Cricetulus griseus: one gene and its partners. The protein of the gene in region 1 interacts with the protein of each later gene in a pairwise test. Links are inferred from orthologs where the notes say so. Each region holds a gene or a part of one and is shown in the gene's direction. Other genes may lie near its edges.

Region 1 (3,511 bases):
CCCCCACACACACACCCCTGGGTCTCACCCCACACCTCTCAGGAAGCAGGCTGCCTGTAGAGGAAGGAGTGGCTAAACCAGGTTTCCATCTCCTGACTGACTCACCATGACCATGAGTTAAGTCACTTCCCCTCTAGGGTGTCACTTCCCTGTCCCCCTTGTAAGGGACAGATTGGAGTGGGATGAAGGTGAAAGGAGCATGAAGACCCCAGACTTAGTCAAGGCATGAAGGGGTCTTTTTCAGACAGGGTCTGCATTGAACGGTCAGTCCCCCTGCTCAGCGTGCCTGAGTGTTGGCGTTGCAGGTGTACAGTACCAGGCCTGGCACCCAGAGTCTTTTTGTTTTTAATTTCATAAAATTTTAATTAGTTGGTGGTGGCGCATGCCTTTAATCCCAGTGCTCAGGAGGCAGAGGCAGGTGGATCTCTGTGAGTTTGAGGCCAGCCTGATCTAGAGAGTGAGTTCCAGGACAGCCAGGACTGGTTCACGGGGAACCCTGTCTCAAAAAACCAGAAGACAAAAAAAATTATTTTGAGACAGGATCTCTCTGTGTAGTCTTTTTTTATTTTAGAGACAGGGTTTCTCTGTGGCTTTGGAGCCTATCCTGGCACTCGTTCTGTAGACAAGGCTGGCCTCGAACTCACTGAGATCCGCCTGCCTCTGCCTCCCAAGTGCTGGGACTAAAGGTGTATGCCACCAGCGCCCGGCCTTTCTCTGTGTAGTCCTGGCTGTTCTGGAATTCACTATGTAGACCAGGCTGGCCTCGGCTTCCAGAGTGCTGGGATTAAAGTTGCCGTGTGCCGCCACCACCCAGCTCCCCAGAGTCTTTATGGGGAGTTCCTGCTTGTGTGTGAGAGTATTTATCGACCCCTCACTTGTGCCTGTGTAGCATAGGTGCGCTGCTGTGGAGGGCCACATCCTGGCTGCACCTAGTGCAGACTGGATGACTTGAGTTCACATGTTGGCAATACTGTTTTTTCTGAGTATGAGCAGGGTGGATCCCCAGACTCTCTGCAAGCACATTGGGAGATGCGGTGTCAATACTAGGTGTTCTCTGAGTTGCTATTCTTAGCATCTGTTAGCAGGTAAAGAAAGGGCTCTGACTTAGGTGCTCTCTTCTCTGCTAACCTCCCCTTCAGGCACAAAATAGAGCTGTCAAGTCCAGCTCCATTCTGTCCTAGTGTTTGCAGTCTCTGCATCAGGACTGTCCCTAACATTCTCAGAACCTCCTGGCCTTCCCACTGCACCGCTCACCTGAGGATCCTGCTGCCACCTTTGGCAGCCTGTACCCCACTTTTCCTGCTACCCGTGAAGTGTAAATTAAGCCTGCTCTGTGGTGCCAGGCCCTTTGCCAGATGGTTGAGTGGACCTGTGATTTCAGAGCTGTGGGTGACCGATGTGTCTCCAATCCTTTTGGCTTTGAATTGGGAATTTCTGGTCTGTGTGGCAAATGAGGGTATGTAGTAGGCCTAGTGGGGTAGTGCTCACCAACACTGGCTGATTTCTGGTAAGTGGTGAGCTTTGGTCACCCCCCACCCAAAAAAAAAGTATGTGGCCATGGGAGCAAGAGTACATTTATGAAGGCATTCAGTGAATGGGGAAGGGGGCAGGGCAGTCGCTCAGTTGCTCAGATAGATGGGACACTTGTCAGGACCCTGACAGAAGTAACGCTGATCGACCCTATTAGGCCTTTGTAGCCCAGTCTTAACACAGGAGGGCAATCTGGTGGTGAAGTAGCCTCCAGAGCAGACTGGCAGAGCCCTCAAAGGCTGTGGACGCTAGCCTGAGGTGCACTGTGAGGGAGGGTCATAGAGAAGAATAGACAACCAAGCAGTGGAAAGGTAGATGACACAGCTTGGGTGTGGGCCCATGGGCTTCTGACCACTCCTCTCCACAGCTCACCCCTGGAGGCAAAGCTGCACAGGCTGGCGTGGCTGTAGGAGACTGGGTGCTGAGCATCGATGGTGAGAACGCAGGGAGCCTCACACACATTGAGGCCCAGAACAAGATCCGCGCCTGTGGGGAGCGCCTCAGCCTGGGGCTTAGCAGGTATGGGGCCAACAGGATGAAGGGGTGAAGGCAGTCTCTGGTCTGGCCCACTGCCATCACTGCTTTCTCTTCTTCTCCAGAGCCCAGCCTGTTCAGAGCAAACCACAGAAGGTAGGTTGTACAGGAGATAACTAGGCTGAGAAAGGGAGGGGGCTTAGACTTCAGGGTTGACCTGCCCTCCCCAGGCCCAGCCTTGTTACCCCTAAGAGCAGAGGGCAGATGCCAGAAGGGGCAGTGTCTGAGGAACTGAGAGGGGCTGGGAGCTGCCGCACGGTCTGGGCGCCACACGTGCCTGCCTGTCTGTCTGCCCGCCCGCTTCCTCCCACGAGCCTGTGCTGTGTGTGCCTGCCCATCCTTGGTCTCCCTTGGCCCAGAGTGGGTTGAGTTCACTACTTCCAAATGGGCCCCTTGAAATCATAGTTTCCCCTCACCCTTAGCCTCTGCCCAGATGTGTACGTGGAGCTGGACCTGTCACTGTCCTTGGTGGTGGTGACTCCGCTCCCACCTCAGCCCCCACTCCCACCCACCCTGCCTGGCTCTGTCTCTGCCCAGGCCCTGACCCCTCCCGCCGATCCCCCGAGGTATACTTTTGCACCAAGCGCCTCCCTCAACAAGACGGCCCGGCCCTTTGGGGCACCCCCACCTACTGACAGCACCCCGCAACAGAATGGGTATGTCAGCCCTCGCCCACTCACTCCTGTCTATTGTCCACACCGTCCAGTCCTTCCACAAGCACACACAAGCTGCCCGCTACTGCTCAGTCTGTGCTGTACCCCAGCCCCTTAACCGTGTGGCAGCAATCCCTGGCGGCCGGGTAGGCCTGAGGGTGTAGAGCCCCACCTAAGGCTGTCGCTCTTGCACAGGCTCTGCCACTCTGGGCAGCCTGGGGTTGGGGTGTGACTGGGCCAGCTGAGTTACTGCCACCTTGCCTCCCTCTGCACTTCTCTAATTCCCCATCTTTCTCTCCCGCGTCTGTCACTTTATTTGTCTATCTGTCTTATTTCCTTCACAGGTGCAGACCCCTGACAAGTCAGTGAGCCCCCTCTTCCTGTCACTTTTTCCCTTCCTTTGGGCACTTTGGGTGGTAGCCCCTCCCTACCCTGGCTACTCTCCTCCCGTCTCTCATTTACCTACCTACCCTCCTGCCCAGCAGGGCCCTTTGCCTCACCCCCCACCCTTCCCCTCTCTCGCCTGTCACATCAGATCCTGGTGGGGGGGGCTGCCCCTGGTGTTCACCAGAACCAGGGGTTCTGAGCCACACCCTTCCCACAGACAGTTGTTCAGACAGCTGGTCCCCGATGCCAGCAAGCAGCGGCTGATGGAGGATACCGAAGACTGGCGGCCACGGCCAGGGACAGGCCAGTCCCGCTCCTTCCGCATCCTTGCCCACCTCACGGGCACAGAGTTCAGTAAGTGCTGGCCCAGGTCAGGGCGGACTCTCTTGGCCTTAGCCTAGGCCTGA
Region 2 (4,080 bases), about 40 Mb from region 1:
TTCTTGAATGGCCTCTGTAGAATACATAGAAATATAGAAGTAGCCATTCCTCTACAGCGGAAATAAGACCTTTTTAAAAAGGTGATTCACTTAAACAGGTGGTTCCCAGTGCAGCATTGCAATCAGATATGGCATGATTTCCTTCTATCTAGTTGTAATGGTATTTAATCTCATCCCCCCTATGGATGGGTCCTGGGATTGAATGCTGATTCTCTGATTGTTGGGTGGTGAGTGCATTTACCTGCTGCCTACTCATGCCTTATTTTATTATTCGAATGGACTGAAAATATCTCATGATCTTTGAAGTGGAAAAAAAAAAGCTTGAAACAAAAACAAACAACAAAACACCCAAACACTACTCAGAGATGCGGCTATCAGTTCCAGGGCTGTTAATGTTTTGAAAGACCATGTTTGACTGGTGTACTTCAAAGGCCAACTCACTGCTGTTCATTTCTAAGTTCCTAGAGATCAGCTCTGTAAACAGATGGGTAATTTAAGAATCCAGGTTTCTAGGGGAGTTTCCAGTGATTTTCAGGCACATATATCCGATGAGAATAGGGGCAAGCAATTTTGGCCAGTAGTTTCCTTTCCAAACTCCTAGCAGGCAAAGGTTATTAGGACAATGTACGACATCTGTATGTCCTTTTATCTCTGCGACTTTTCCCCCAAAGGTTTTTTAAAAGCCATATAGCTTAAGGGATCTCCTCTGATTAGATCTAGAATTACTCACTAAAAAGGATAACCTAGTTCTTCCAGCAATTTGTAATGTTCTAACCAGATTGATAATGGGAGGTCCATTCTTTGTAAACGTTCCATTTGTGCATCTACAGGACGCGGGAACTTGAGTGTCTTGCAACTGGTTTTTTGAGCACAGGGTTGGAAATAGAGGGAGACTATCTTACCCATTCGGGTCAGTACACGGGCGAGTGCTTGTCCAACACGGAGCCATTAGGAACCAAGCAAAGCGTGGAGTGGGTCCACCCCGCGAGCCGCGTCGCAGCCCACCGGGCCTGGCAGGACCCTAACAATGCTACCCTCGTGTCACGGTGCCCGGCTCCAGCGTGCCAGCACGTACGTAGCTTGCACGTGTGTGTTGATATGGAGTTGGTGTGTGGACCCCTTAGAATATGCTGAAACCGATTTCGCAGAGAGGCGCCGGAGACAGGTCGAGGGAAGGTAGGAGCGGGTGCGGCGGGCTCCCCCGGTCTCGGGGCGGGGAGGCAGCGCAGGCCGCGCAAGTCCCGCGCCCGCCGCTAGAGCCCCCCGTGCGCGGCTCGGCCCAGGCCGCGCTTGCCCGGCCCGGCCCCGCGCGGGGAAACACTCGAGCGCACACAATGAACTCCGAGGAGGCTGCGAGCTCGGCCGGCCGCCGCGCCCGCACCATGTGAACCACCGCTTAGTGGGGAGCGTCAGCTTTCCCCCAGGGCGTCCTCGGCAGCCCCGAAGGCCCTGCGCCGCCGTCGGGCTGAGGAGACGCGGTGAGTGAGCGAGCGAGCGAGCGAGCGAACGAGCGAGCGAGCGAACTGTGCGCGCGGCGGTCCGGGCCTCCAGCCGGCGCGCGACGCCCCGGCCGCCTCACCAGGCTTCGCCCCGGCGCGCGCCGAGGCATTTTCTGTGGTGAAAGCCGCCGCCAACATGGCGCCCCTCGAGCCCCGAGCCCTCTGCGCCGAGCCAGCGGGGGGAGCCGGGGAGGAGGGAGGAGATGGCGGGGAGGAGGAGGAGACGGCGGCCTGCGTCCCCCCCGCCCCCCGCGCCCGTCGCCGGCTGAGGCCCGAGAGGCGCCGGGCGGCGGGAAGGAGGCGGCTCCGGAGGGAGGGCCGGGCGCGGCGGCGACGGCGGCGGCGGCGGAGCGGAGCATAATGGTGGGGAAAGCTCGGCGGGGCGCTGGGCGGCGGGGCGGGCGGAGGCGTCCGTGGCGGTGACGCGGCCTGCACCGTGACGGCTGCAGGGGCTGCGGCCTCTGTGGCGGGCGGCGGCTGATGGTGGCCTCGGGACTGCCCCAGGCCGGCGAGGCCTGCGGACTGGGCGCTTTCCCTCGGTCCGGCGCCTCTTGCCTCCGGCAGCCGTGAGGAACAGGCCCGGGGGAAGGCCGCGGAGAACCGCGCGCGGCCTGCTGGCGCCCCGAAGCCGCGGAGTCTTGTGAGCTCCTCCCGCCGGGTCCCAGCGCCTCCCGCCTGGCCAGGCCCGAGGGCCCTTTGCGTGGAACGTGTGGCGGGCGGAGGGGAGCAGTGGAAGCGGCGGTGCCCGAGAACCGAGACCAGTGTCCGTCGGTCCCTCGGGACTGCAGGCGAGCGGGTTGCGAGGCTTCAGCTGCCTCAACAGGTCCTCCCGGCCGTGCTGCGGGATTAGCCGCGCTGTGCCCGTGTAGAACTGGGGAGAGACGCTGATGGGGACGCTGCCTGTGGGGCTGTGGCCCGAACTTTCACTCACGCCTTTTTCCTGGGCCGAGCCGAGCGTGCTTTGCGGTGTGTCCGTGGGACTTTGTCTTTGGTGTCTGTGGTACTTATACTTAGTGTTTGCCGTGTGTCCGTGGTACTGACTGTCGTGTGTGACTTGTTAGTAGTACTCGGTGTCACAGGCAGTATGCACGCAGCACCCAGTGTCCTCTAATTTGTCTAAACTCCGACCTGTGCCACTGCACAGCTGAACTGTGCCCTGTATCCCAGGAGGGATAAGATGTGTAGATAGTATCTAGCATTGTGTGCGGCTGTGTTTGCAGTTTCTTTGTATATGGTTACAAAGTGTCAATGTGTGTTACAGAGTATCTGGTGTTAATTTCCTTTGCATGACCAGTGTCTTATACTGTGTATACACACAGTACCTGGTTTCCTGTAAAGTTGTGTGCACAGTAACTAGTGTCATATGTAGTATTTATACAGTTCCTATGTTAGTGTAGGAGTTATACACTGTACCCAGTATCTTCTGTGGTGTGTATTCAATCGCTGGTTTCATTTGGTGTGTACAAAATAACTGGCATCGCAGTATGTTTTTGAGCCTGAAAGAAGTGGCCAAGTGGTCCAGTCAGGGAGAAGTCACCCCCAAAGTGGTAGGCAGTTTAAGGGGTTTTTGTGAGCCTTTCTCACTCAGGTCCTCTCTCTGATTCACCTGGGAGTTAAGTTTCCTACAGTCAATTGTGTTGTATGCCGGCAAAAACATTAAAAATAATCACTTCGAGCCACAGAAAGTAAATGCTTTTAAAAAATAAGACAAGAAATGTAACGGTCTTTAGCTTGATTGTTATGGGATACAAACCTTAAATGATGGGGGCGGGTGTCATTGATTCCAACTGATGGCTAAAAATTATTAGTGTCTGGTTGTACTCTAAAAGTTTTGAGTGGTTTTGGTAGGCACGGTGGTCTTTGTACTTTTAAAAATCTCTAATGTGTTCAACTAAAACAGTGGTTCTCAACCTTCCTAATGCTGCCAACATTTAATACAATGCCTCCTGTTGTGACCCCCAACCATAAAATTGTTTCATTGTTATTTCATAACTGTAATTTTGCTACTGTTATGAACCATAATGTAAATATCTGATATGCAGGATATCTGATGTGCAACCCTTGTGAAAGGGTCTTCTGGCTCCCAAACTGGTGGGGTTCCACAGGTAGAGAACTGCTAGACTAGAAGCAATGAGAATTTATGTACAGGCCTATTAGTTTCCTGGCCTTTGTTTACATTGTAGCAAGTACATTGGTTACATTGTTGTCAGAATTTTGGCTAACCCTGTAAGATGAAAAGGACAATCAAAGATCAGAAGACATGAAATGCGACTGATCAAATCAGAATGCTTCTTGCTGAATTCTGATTGAGAAAATTGCTATACTGTATACACTATCTTTTTCTGTAGAGACTGTTTTCATGTGAAAACTGTAGCTCTTATATTCTTTAAGATGGACAGTTTGGTTTTTGCAGTTACCAATTGCTAGGTGTTTAAACAAATGTACATGTGAGTGCTTTCTTTATAAAGAAAATTTGATTTTAAATGTTAGAACTGTGCTCTAGTTCTCCTTAAATTTTCTTCAGCTATCCTAAAGTTGGTGCTTGGGTGGATGCCTATTTGCATTTTCTGTGAATGACATA
Region 3 (4,233 bases), about 91 Mb from region 1:
CAAGATCCATAGTTCTGGGAAAGTCTTTAAATTTACTAACCTTGCTTGATCCTTAACACCCAGTGTAGTTGCCGGCTGGCTAATAAAGACTTTCTATTGGCTTAGATGAATGTCTGAGCAGTTTTCTCTGGTAGATAACCCACAACAAAGGCACCAAACATCCAGGTGGTACACAGATGTGTATGCACAGGAAAAAGATCCATATAATAAAATACTAATGAAAAATTAAAAATTTCAGTTAACCAAAACCAAACCCAACAGAAAGCCAGATGGTGTGGCACATATCTGTTATCTGATCAACTGGGAGGTGGGTCCCAGCCTAGGGTGCATGAAACCCTGACTCCACCTGTCTCCTGACCCCCCCCCCCCCATGGCACAAAAAGGTAATCCTAACTACTCAGAGAATCAAAAGTTCAAGGCCAATTAGAACTCTTTAAGCAAGACCCTGCTCCAAATAAAAACTAGAAAGGTAACAACAGGACTGGCAACATAGGTCAGTAGGAGTGATCCCTGACTAGTATGAGCAGGGCTCTGGGTCCAACCCTCAGTGCCCCCAATGCCAGGAATTAAGAAGGCTGAGGATAGGGTTGAGTTCCAGGTCAGTCAGGGTTACATAGAGGCCGTTTGCTAATTCAAAACTTTCAGTTTACTCCATACAGGGAGGAAATGGGAGTTGGTTCCCCATGGGACACTTACGGACTTGGGTGAAGTTCTGAAGTGTGACCTCACCCCCACCCCCTTCTACTTTTGCTTCTTGGAACAAGAACAGATGTTCTATAAAGGCCAGGGCATTTATACTTCTAGAACTGAAAACAAGGCCTAGCATATAGTTGGCACAAGCTGCCAATATTAGCAATACATAAGATGCTTAAGTTTGACCAGTATACCTTTGTGGTGTCAATACATCCCTTTCCAAATTTGCGGACGTGGTTATAGTTACAAGGTTTATCCGATATTCAAATTTAAGGGGGGAACATACTGTTTTTTTGTTAGCAAGTTTTTGTTTGTTTGTTTTTTGAGACAGAGTTTCTCTGTGTAGTAGTCATGGCTGTTTTAGAATTCACCCTGTAGACAAGGCTAGCCTTGAATTTACGAAGAACCGCCTGCCTCTGCCTCCCAAATGCTGGTATTAAAGGGGAGCGCCACTATCACTCGGCTAGCATACTGTTTTTTTCTCCAGTAATCCCCGAAAGACTCGCTGAATTAACTGACCGGATGGTCTTCTCCCACCTGTTTCATGGAGGGAAACTCTACCTACTTCCAAAGGAATAAAATAAAGCCCCTGGTGCCCGGCGAGTCCCTATTTTGTATGTCTGCCCGAACACAACTCAGGAGCAAGAGGTCCTCGCCACTCGGGACCTCAGTAAATCAAAAGCTCGCATGCTGGGTCTAGGTGGTCCGCACCTGCGCGCCCAGGCCAGCCTCTTCCGGGTCAGGTGACCGCGCGCACTCACGTGACCCGGCCCGAGTGCGGGCGCTGGAAGGCGGAAGTGGAGCGGAGTTAGGCGCCGCTGGTGTGGCCGCTGCAGGTAGGTGGCGCGGGCGCTGGGGGCTCGGTGGCGAGCGGGCGGCGCGGGGTGGCCGGGGGCGGCGGGGGCGTGAGGGCTGGGGGCGGCGCGGGGCGGGCGCGGGGGCGGCGGCTTCCTGTGGGAGGGGCCTGGCGCGCGGTTCCGGCCTCCGAGGAGGGGTGTCCCGGCTTGCGCCCGAGCGGGGTGGGCGCGGGGCCCGGTGGGAGTCGCCAGCTGCTGGCGCTTCCGGCAGGGGACCCCTGCCTGGGCGCCTGCGGTGCGCAGGAGCCGCGTCTGTGGAGGGGACGGGACCTCGGCCCGGGAGACTAGCAAGCTCCCCAGAAGGGGCTGCCTGGGAGTGGGCGTCTGGTTTGTAGGGACGTGGAGAAAAAATCTGGACGATGCGGCCTGGACCCCATTCCGAGAGTCTCTTCCTTCCATCCTCTTTGAAGATGATGGCGACCTGAGACTTTAATTTCGGTCCGGTTCAGTTTTTAAACTTCAGGAGGGATCCCTCAGTCTTGATCGGCTGACTGTGGTCACACCCACTTTGCCCTGTTTGCTTAGGGTTCCCTCTTGTTAGGAGCCTAGCCCTTCAGATCATCTTTCTTTGAGATGCTCCCGGATCGGCTGATCTTCGAAAAAAAAAATAAAATAAAGACGGTGTGGGTGCTTTACTGGGATCATAACATGACTTTCAACCTACACAGTTGTCAGCGGCTTGGGCCAGCGTTACCTCAGCAACGCATTGACTGCTTAACTCTTGGACAGTAGAAAGTCTACCGATACTGCTTTAGACGATGCATCTTAGGCTTAAATTACACAGTTTCCTTTTCCATGAGACTTCTTATCTTGACCAGCTGTGACTAGGTGGGGTGACAGAGAAGTTTCTGTGGTATTCCTTAGAACTGTGACCTAGATCACATTTTTTTTTTTTTTTTTTTGAGGTTAAGATACCCATCTTAAGATTGTTCATCTTCCAGGCCGAGGCGTGAAGATGGCTGCAAGTTCCAGGCCAAGCCGGCCTGGGCTACACTGTTAAGACCTAAACAAACAACCAAGCCCTCCTCTTTTCCTTCACATTTACTAAACTTTGCAGAAGTGAAATGGGTTTTGTGAATGCAGTGAAGGAGTTAGAGTTCAAATGGGACGTTGACAGGAGCCAGGATCACAGGTCACTAGGGCAAAAAAAAAAACCAAAAACTTTGCATTAATACATTAGGAGTGGAAGACTTTGGGGTATATGACAAACATTCAAAAGTTAATTTTTGTAGCTGTCATGAGAAATCAATCCCCACTTCACAGAGAACAAACAGCTAAGAGGGTTGACTTTAAAAATATTTATTTTTATTTATTATGTGTGTGTGTGTTCGTGTCTGTGTATGTATGTCATATGTAGGGTGTGGGTGTCCACAGAGGCCAGAAGAAAGCATTGGGTCCCTTGAAGCCAGAGATACAGGTGGTTGTGAGCCTCTGCGCTTTCTTTCTTTTTAAAAAGATTTTATTTTGTCTGCATTCATGTCTATGTGAGGCTGTTGGATCCTCTGGAGCTGAAGTTACAGACAGTTGTGAGTTGCCATGTGGGTGCTGGGAATTGAATTTGGGCCCTCTGGAAGAGCAGCCAGTGCTCTTAATCACTGAGCTGTCTCTCCAGCCCCAAGCCTCTGGCCTGTCATTCTGGGAACTAAACTTTGGTCCTGTGGAAGAGCACTAAATACTCTTTAACTGTTGATCTATCTCTCTAGCCCCAACTTGACTTGTTTACTCATCTTCCTGCTAGACTGTAAATCATTCAAGGGCAGTGATCCTATTTTATGTGGCTTCCTTGGCTACTAGCCTCATGCCTGGTATGTTGTGAGTACTTGGTCAGTGTTTGAGAAATAAGGGAGTTTTTAAAGGTCACACTGCTGTATGTGGTGAAGAAGGGGTTTGAACTTAAGTTTCCTGTCCTTTTTCTGGTCAGTGAAGCTAGTTTTGTTCTGTGTTATTGGTCCCTAGGAAACCAAGGAGCCTGAGGCCAAAGGCTTGGATTGGCTTGTCGTTCTCTTTCACTGTTTTTTTTTTTTTTTTTTTTTTTTTTTTTTTTTTTTTTTTTTTTTGTCATTGAACTTTACACCTTACCACTGAGTTGGAGCTGTAGCCCTTCCCCTCTCCCCCACTCCTGTGTAGCTTTGGAGCCCATCCTAGCACTTGCTCCGGAGACCAGGCTGGCCTCAAACTCACAGAGATCCGCCTGCCTCTGCCTCCCGAGTGCTGGGATTAAAGACGTGCACCACCAATGCCTGGCTGTAGCCCTTCTTTTTGTAAGTTTTTTTCTTTTTCTTTTGAGACAGACTCTCAGTAAGTTTCCCTGGGTGGCCTCAAACTCCTGTAGCTCAGGAAAGCCTTGAACTTGTGCTCCTCCTGCCTCTGTCTCTTGAGTTAGCTGGAATTACAGGACTGCACTACCAGGTCTGTCTTTCATTTAATGACTACTTTCCCACTTGCAAAAAACTTACACCAGGTTCTCATTTATTCTTATATTTGGTTATTTCTTTCCTTATTTAAGACAAATTTTTATTATGTAGTCCTGACTGGTCTAGAGCTCACAAAGATCCACCTGCCTCTGCCTCCCAAGTGCTGGAATTAAAGTTGTGTTAAATTAAAATAAATTTAAATCAAAACTATGCTCAGCCTTTCCTTTTTTGAGACAGGGTCTCACTGTGGCTTTTGGCTTTTTGATACA
Region 4 (4,262 bases), on another chromosome or scaffold:
CTACCAAGAAATGGTGAAAAATCAGGAAAAGAAAATTAGTCTATGTGGCCACATTAGGATGAAGAACTAAGAGTCCCTTGACCCCCTGGTCTGTCTTCCAGGGTTAGTATACGGCTCAGATTTAAATAGAGGACAAGAGATGTGCAGAGCTCACAGTTCCAGGCTAAGGTGTGGTCCAGTTTATCACTACTGTCTGCACCACTATCCATTCTCTCCAGAAATGTGCTCTAACACATTCTTAACACTGTGTGAAATGTCAGCACTGTGACAAAGTCATCACTGGTCAGCACCAGGCTTCAGCCTTTTCATTCTCCCAGTAGGGAGTTTCTGGGGCACAAATGTCTCTCTTTAGAATATCTTCAATCCTACCAGAATGGTTATACACTGAAGTAAGCTTCCCTAAGAAAGAAAAATAAGTGTTTAAGCCAAATATATATGTATGCATATACACATATGTACATATGTACACACACTGATATATATATATATATATATATATATATATATATATATCTTTTTATAAACCCCATGGCAATATGTGGAAGGATTCTCAAGGTGACACCTTGTTTAACCTACTCACAGGTGAGTAACCCCTGGTCAAAAGCACACACACCTAAAGTATGGCAATCACATGTAATTCATGATGACACAGTGTTCAAAGCTAGGTTACATCACAGGCTACCAGATCATGAAGTACAGAATCACCATTTAATACAGTTAACACTTACAGGACCTACTTGAGCAGGTGATATTCTATCTGTTTGATAAATATTTATTTTCTATCTATAATAATTGGTTTTTATGCAGAATAATTATTAGCTCATTTTTCTTGTTGATATATATGCTATTTTGTCACATATGTGTTCTGGATTTTGACTTCATACCAAACTTTGAGGTGCTTCTCCTTGAGAATTGTTCAGCTTTTGCTTCAGTAATGTTGATATGATACACAAGTTGGAAACATAGCTCTTCACGTGTTACATCAGTGTAACTGTCAGCTGTGGCTCAACAATGGCTCCACAGAGTTGCCTGGTCTTGACTCCAGGTTGCACTATGTCTTCTTCAAATCTCTCTTCTAAAACTGAGGATTGGCAAGTATAATCTACCTGAGGATTCTTAATGACAAGTTTATTGGGGTGGAGTACTAAGAGCATCCAAACACCCCCACCCTAGACTGGCTTATTTTCCAGACCATTGATCCATGCAGTTCACATGGGCCAAATTCAGCACCAATGGGACAAGCAACTGTAATCCACAGTGATCATTCAAGATAAGAACAAAGATTCAGAATGAAATTATCTCATATATACAGCCTGAAAATATAACTTTTATCTTTTGAAATTAGTATTGTGAGAGATAACTGAAATGATGTAGATAAATTATCTAAAATAAATTTATCTCCTGGTGGTGAGATATAATAAGCTGCCTGTTTTCTCTTTGTATTTCATAGGTTTTTTACATCATGTTTGGGAAGAAAAAGAAAAAGATTGAAATTTCTGGCCCATCCAACTTTGAGCACAGGGTTCATACTGGGTTTGATCCACAGGAGCAGAAATTTACTGGCCTTCCCCAGCAATGGCACAGCCTGTTAGCAGACACAGCCAACAGGCCCAAGCCCATGGTGGATCCGTCATGCATCACACCGATACAACTGGCTCCCATGAAGGTATGCAAGGATTCTGTCTTCAGGTTGACTTCAGCACCAGGCTCTGACTTGATTTAGTGTACTATCTTTATAAACTGGGTAACTTTAGCCACAGTTAGCCTTCATTTTGCAGCACATGAAAGGGAAATGTTGTCTTTGAATACTGATTATTGTAAAATTTAGATGTAAAATTAAGCTACAAAATGAATTTTTATTTCTGTCAATAATACCCAGCTCCTCTGATAATATCAGCAATAGATCTAATCAAATATTTTACTGGACATATTTCATTGTCTTCTATTTGCTCTCAAAATATTTATACTTACTATTATAAAATACAACGATAACAGATTTCAGTAGCAATAAATCATATTTATAAGCATACACTCAAATGTATGTGTCTATATGTATGATTTATACAGTAAATGTGTGTATCTTCACATTTATCTCCATAGTCTAAGAAAGAGATATTTCATATTAGCAAATAATTTCAGTCATTGAATAATTAACCTGAACAAACAGCTGGTAGATTTTTGATAAGGAATGTTCATGACTCATTAAGTTTCAGCTATGTTCAGTTACCAAAAAGACAATTCAGAGGTTGCAGCTTCTTCTTTACTGGAGGGTAAGAATTCTGTAGTCTATCAGGCAGTTGCCCACAAGCTCTCCATGGGAGTAAAACAGTATAGATATTTAGCAGAATAATATACATCAGATCACTCCAGAGTCTTCCAATCTCAACAAAGTATGAAACTCATGTTCCTCTGTCATTCATTATACTAGAACGTATCTTTGCTATGAGGATACTTACTCTGTGTGAACATTAATAGTGCCTAAATTGTGCTAAATTATATATAAAGTGATTCTACAGGATGTGAACAAAAGATATAGTTGATAAATGATAAAGGAGTCTGTTATCTCTTCAACTGGTTGAATTCGAATAGTGATCCAATGAAAGAAGTGTGTCGTCCCTTATTTTTGGACAGCAGGCTTCAGGAGGATTTACCTGAGTAGAAATCTACCACATGAGCCAGTATTCCTTGATGGGTCATGACTCCCATTGCCCCTGTTCAGAAACTCTAGCTTATCTATTTTGCCTACAACTTGTAAGAGTACATCTGTCCTTTGCAGACTCATTTATGCCAGGGCTTCTCAAGGTATATTGAGAATCACCTGAAGTGTCTTGCTAAAACAAATGTTCTAGTTGGGATTTCTATTGCAGTGAAGAGACACCAGAGCCACACAAATTCTTATAAAGGAAAACATTTAGTTGGGGCTGGCTTACACTTGAGAGATTTAGTCCATTGTCATTGGACTAAATTGGCTGTAATGGTACTGGAGAGGTAGCTGAGAGTTCTACATCTGGATCCAGGGGCAGTAGGAAGACAGGGAGCCCTTAGACCTGGCTTGAGATTCTGATACCTCAAAGCCTGCCCCCAATGACACACATCCTCCAACAAGACTGCACCTACTCCAGTAAGGCTGTACCTCCTAATAGTACTGCTCTCTATGGGCTTATGGGAGCCATTTTTATTCAAACCACCATAACACAGATATGGAGCTCTACCCCTGTATCTGATTCAGTAAAACTGGGTTAGAGCTTCTTGGTGTTCATTTCTAAATAATATCCTGCTGGTGCAAAGGCGGCTGGCCTAAAGAGATTTTGAAAATCTTTATAAAAGTAGTTATAAAAACTTATTTACATAGATGATATAATCAGAATGACTTTACACTGGTTAAAAAAAAAGTTCAAGATATCAGAATCTTAGATTTATGTTGAGTTGACTTTCTTGACCCCAAACCCCAAGCACATAAACTGACTGAAATCATCTGAATAGTCAAAGGGGAGTATACCTTTCAAACATTTGGCAAGGTCAGGAAATGAAGGTCAGTGATATGACCTGCACTTAGCATAAATTCAATGGGTTCAATTTCTAACAGCTCCTCTTCTTCCCCCACCAAGAATGTTTTTCATACTTAACTGTTTTGTCCATAAGAGCATCATAAGCAACATTACCCAAGTTGTTTCAAAATTAGCTGTGTTATATGCACATCTTAACGTTTTCTTCCTGTTTCTTTTTAATGTTAATTATTATTATAGCAATAATTCTAAATATTTTGATATATTTAAATTTTATTGTGATGTCATACTATATAACTATCTTCGAACTTCCTATTTATTTAAGATTGAGAAAAATTCTCATTCATACAGAAGACTTGAGTTTCGTTTAAATTGTAACTTTCTATAACTTGCTCATTTTTCTATAGAAGAATTCTACAAAGTATGTGCTATAACAGATAAAATTATCATGAAGATATGAGTGCTTGGTTTTCATAGTACAGTCTGGAACTCTTGGGAAACTTAGGTTCTTTGAGAAGTCTACCTGAGGTTACAGTAGGATTTTTCAGAAAGTAACATATATTGTAGTGTCATAGTTGATGCCTAAAATATCATGAACTCTCTACTCTTTTGCTTTATAAGCTTCTTATTTGTGTGGTGGTGGCCCATGCCTTTAATTCCAGCACTCAGGGGACAGAAGCAGGCAAATCTCTAAGTCTGGGGCCAACCTGGCCTACAAAATGAGTTCCAGGACAACCAGGGCTACACAGAGAAACC

Evidence for each region.
Region 2: the proteins of Pdlim7 (region 1) and Zmynd11 interact in a two-hybrid assay, tested with the Homo sapiens proteins (2 studies listed by BioGRID). The link is inferred for Cricetulus griseus from reciprocal best matches to the Homo sapiens genes PDLIM7 and ZMYND11.
Region 3: the proteins of Pdlim7 (region 1) and Wwp2 interact in binary tests that used the Homo sapiens proteins (3 or more experiments, as listed by UniProt). The link is inferred for Cricetulus griseus from reciprocal best matches to the Homo sapiens genes PDLIM7 and WWP2.
Region 4: the proteins of Pdlim7 (region 1) and Pak5 interact in a two-hybrid assay, tested with the Homo sapiens proteins (2 studies listed by BioGRID and IntAct). The two-hybrid records come from large-scale screens. The link is inferred for Cricetulus griseus from reciprocal best matches to the Homo sapiens genes PDLIM7 and PAK5.

The regions. Positions count from the first base shown.
Region 1 is NC_048596.1:274,494,262-274,497,772, reverse strand, and holds part of Pdlim7 (PDZ and LIM domain protein 7), read left to right. Parts: intron 1-1,897; coding exon 1,898-2,049; intron 2,050-2,129; coding exon 2,130-2,160; intron 2,161-2,601; coding exon 2,602-2,720; intron 2,721-3,061; coding exon of another isoform or gene 3,062-3,078; intron 3,079-3,321; coding exon 3,322-3,458; intron 3,459-3,511. UniProt on the Homo sapiens protein: May function as a scaffold on which the coordinated assembly of proteins can occur. May play a role as an adapter that, via its PDZ domain, localizes LIM-binding proteins to actin filaments of both skeletal muscle and nonmuscle tissues.
Region 2 is NC_048596.1:234,026,365-234,030,444, reverse strand, and holds the start of Zmynd11 (zinc finger MYND domain-containing protein 11), read left to right. Parts: upstream 1-1,280; 5' UTR 1,281-1,478; intron 1,479-1,786; exon of another isoform or gene 1,787-1,862; intron 1,863-2,294; exon of another isoform or gene 2,295-2,465; intron 2,466-4,080. UniProt on the Homo sapiens protein: Chromatin reader that specifically recognizes and binds histone H3.3 trimethylated at 'Lys-36' (H3.3K36me3) and regulates RNA polymerase II elongation. Does not bind other histone H3 subtypes (H3.1 or H3.2).
Region 3 is NC_048596.1:183,768,586-183,772,818, forward strand, and holds the start of Wwp2 (NEDD4-like E3 ubiquitin-protein ligase WWP2), read left to right. Parts: upstream 1-1,433; 5' UTR 1,434-1,529; intron 1,530-4,233. UniProt on the Homo sapiens protein: E3 ubiquitin-protein ligase which accepts ubiquitin from an E2 ubiquitin-conjugating enzyme in the form of a thioester and then directly transfers the ubiquitin to targeted substrates.
Region 4 is NC_048599.1:42,473,462-42,477,723, forward strand, and holds the start of Pak5 (serine/threonine-protein kinase PAK 5), read left to right. Parts: upstream 1-1,462; coding exon 1,463-1,666; intron 1,667-4,262.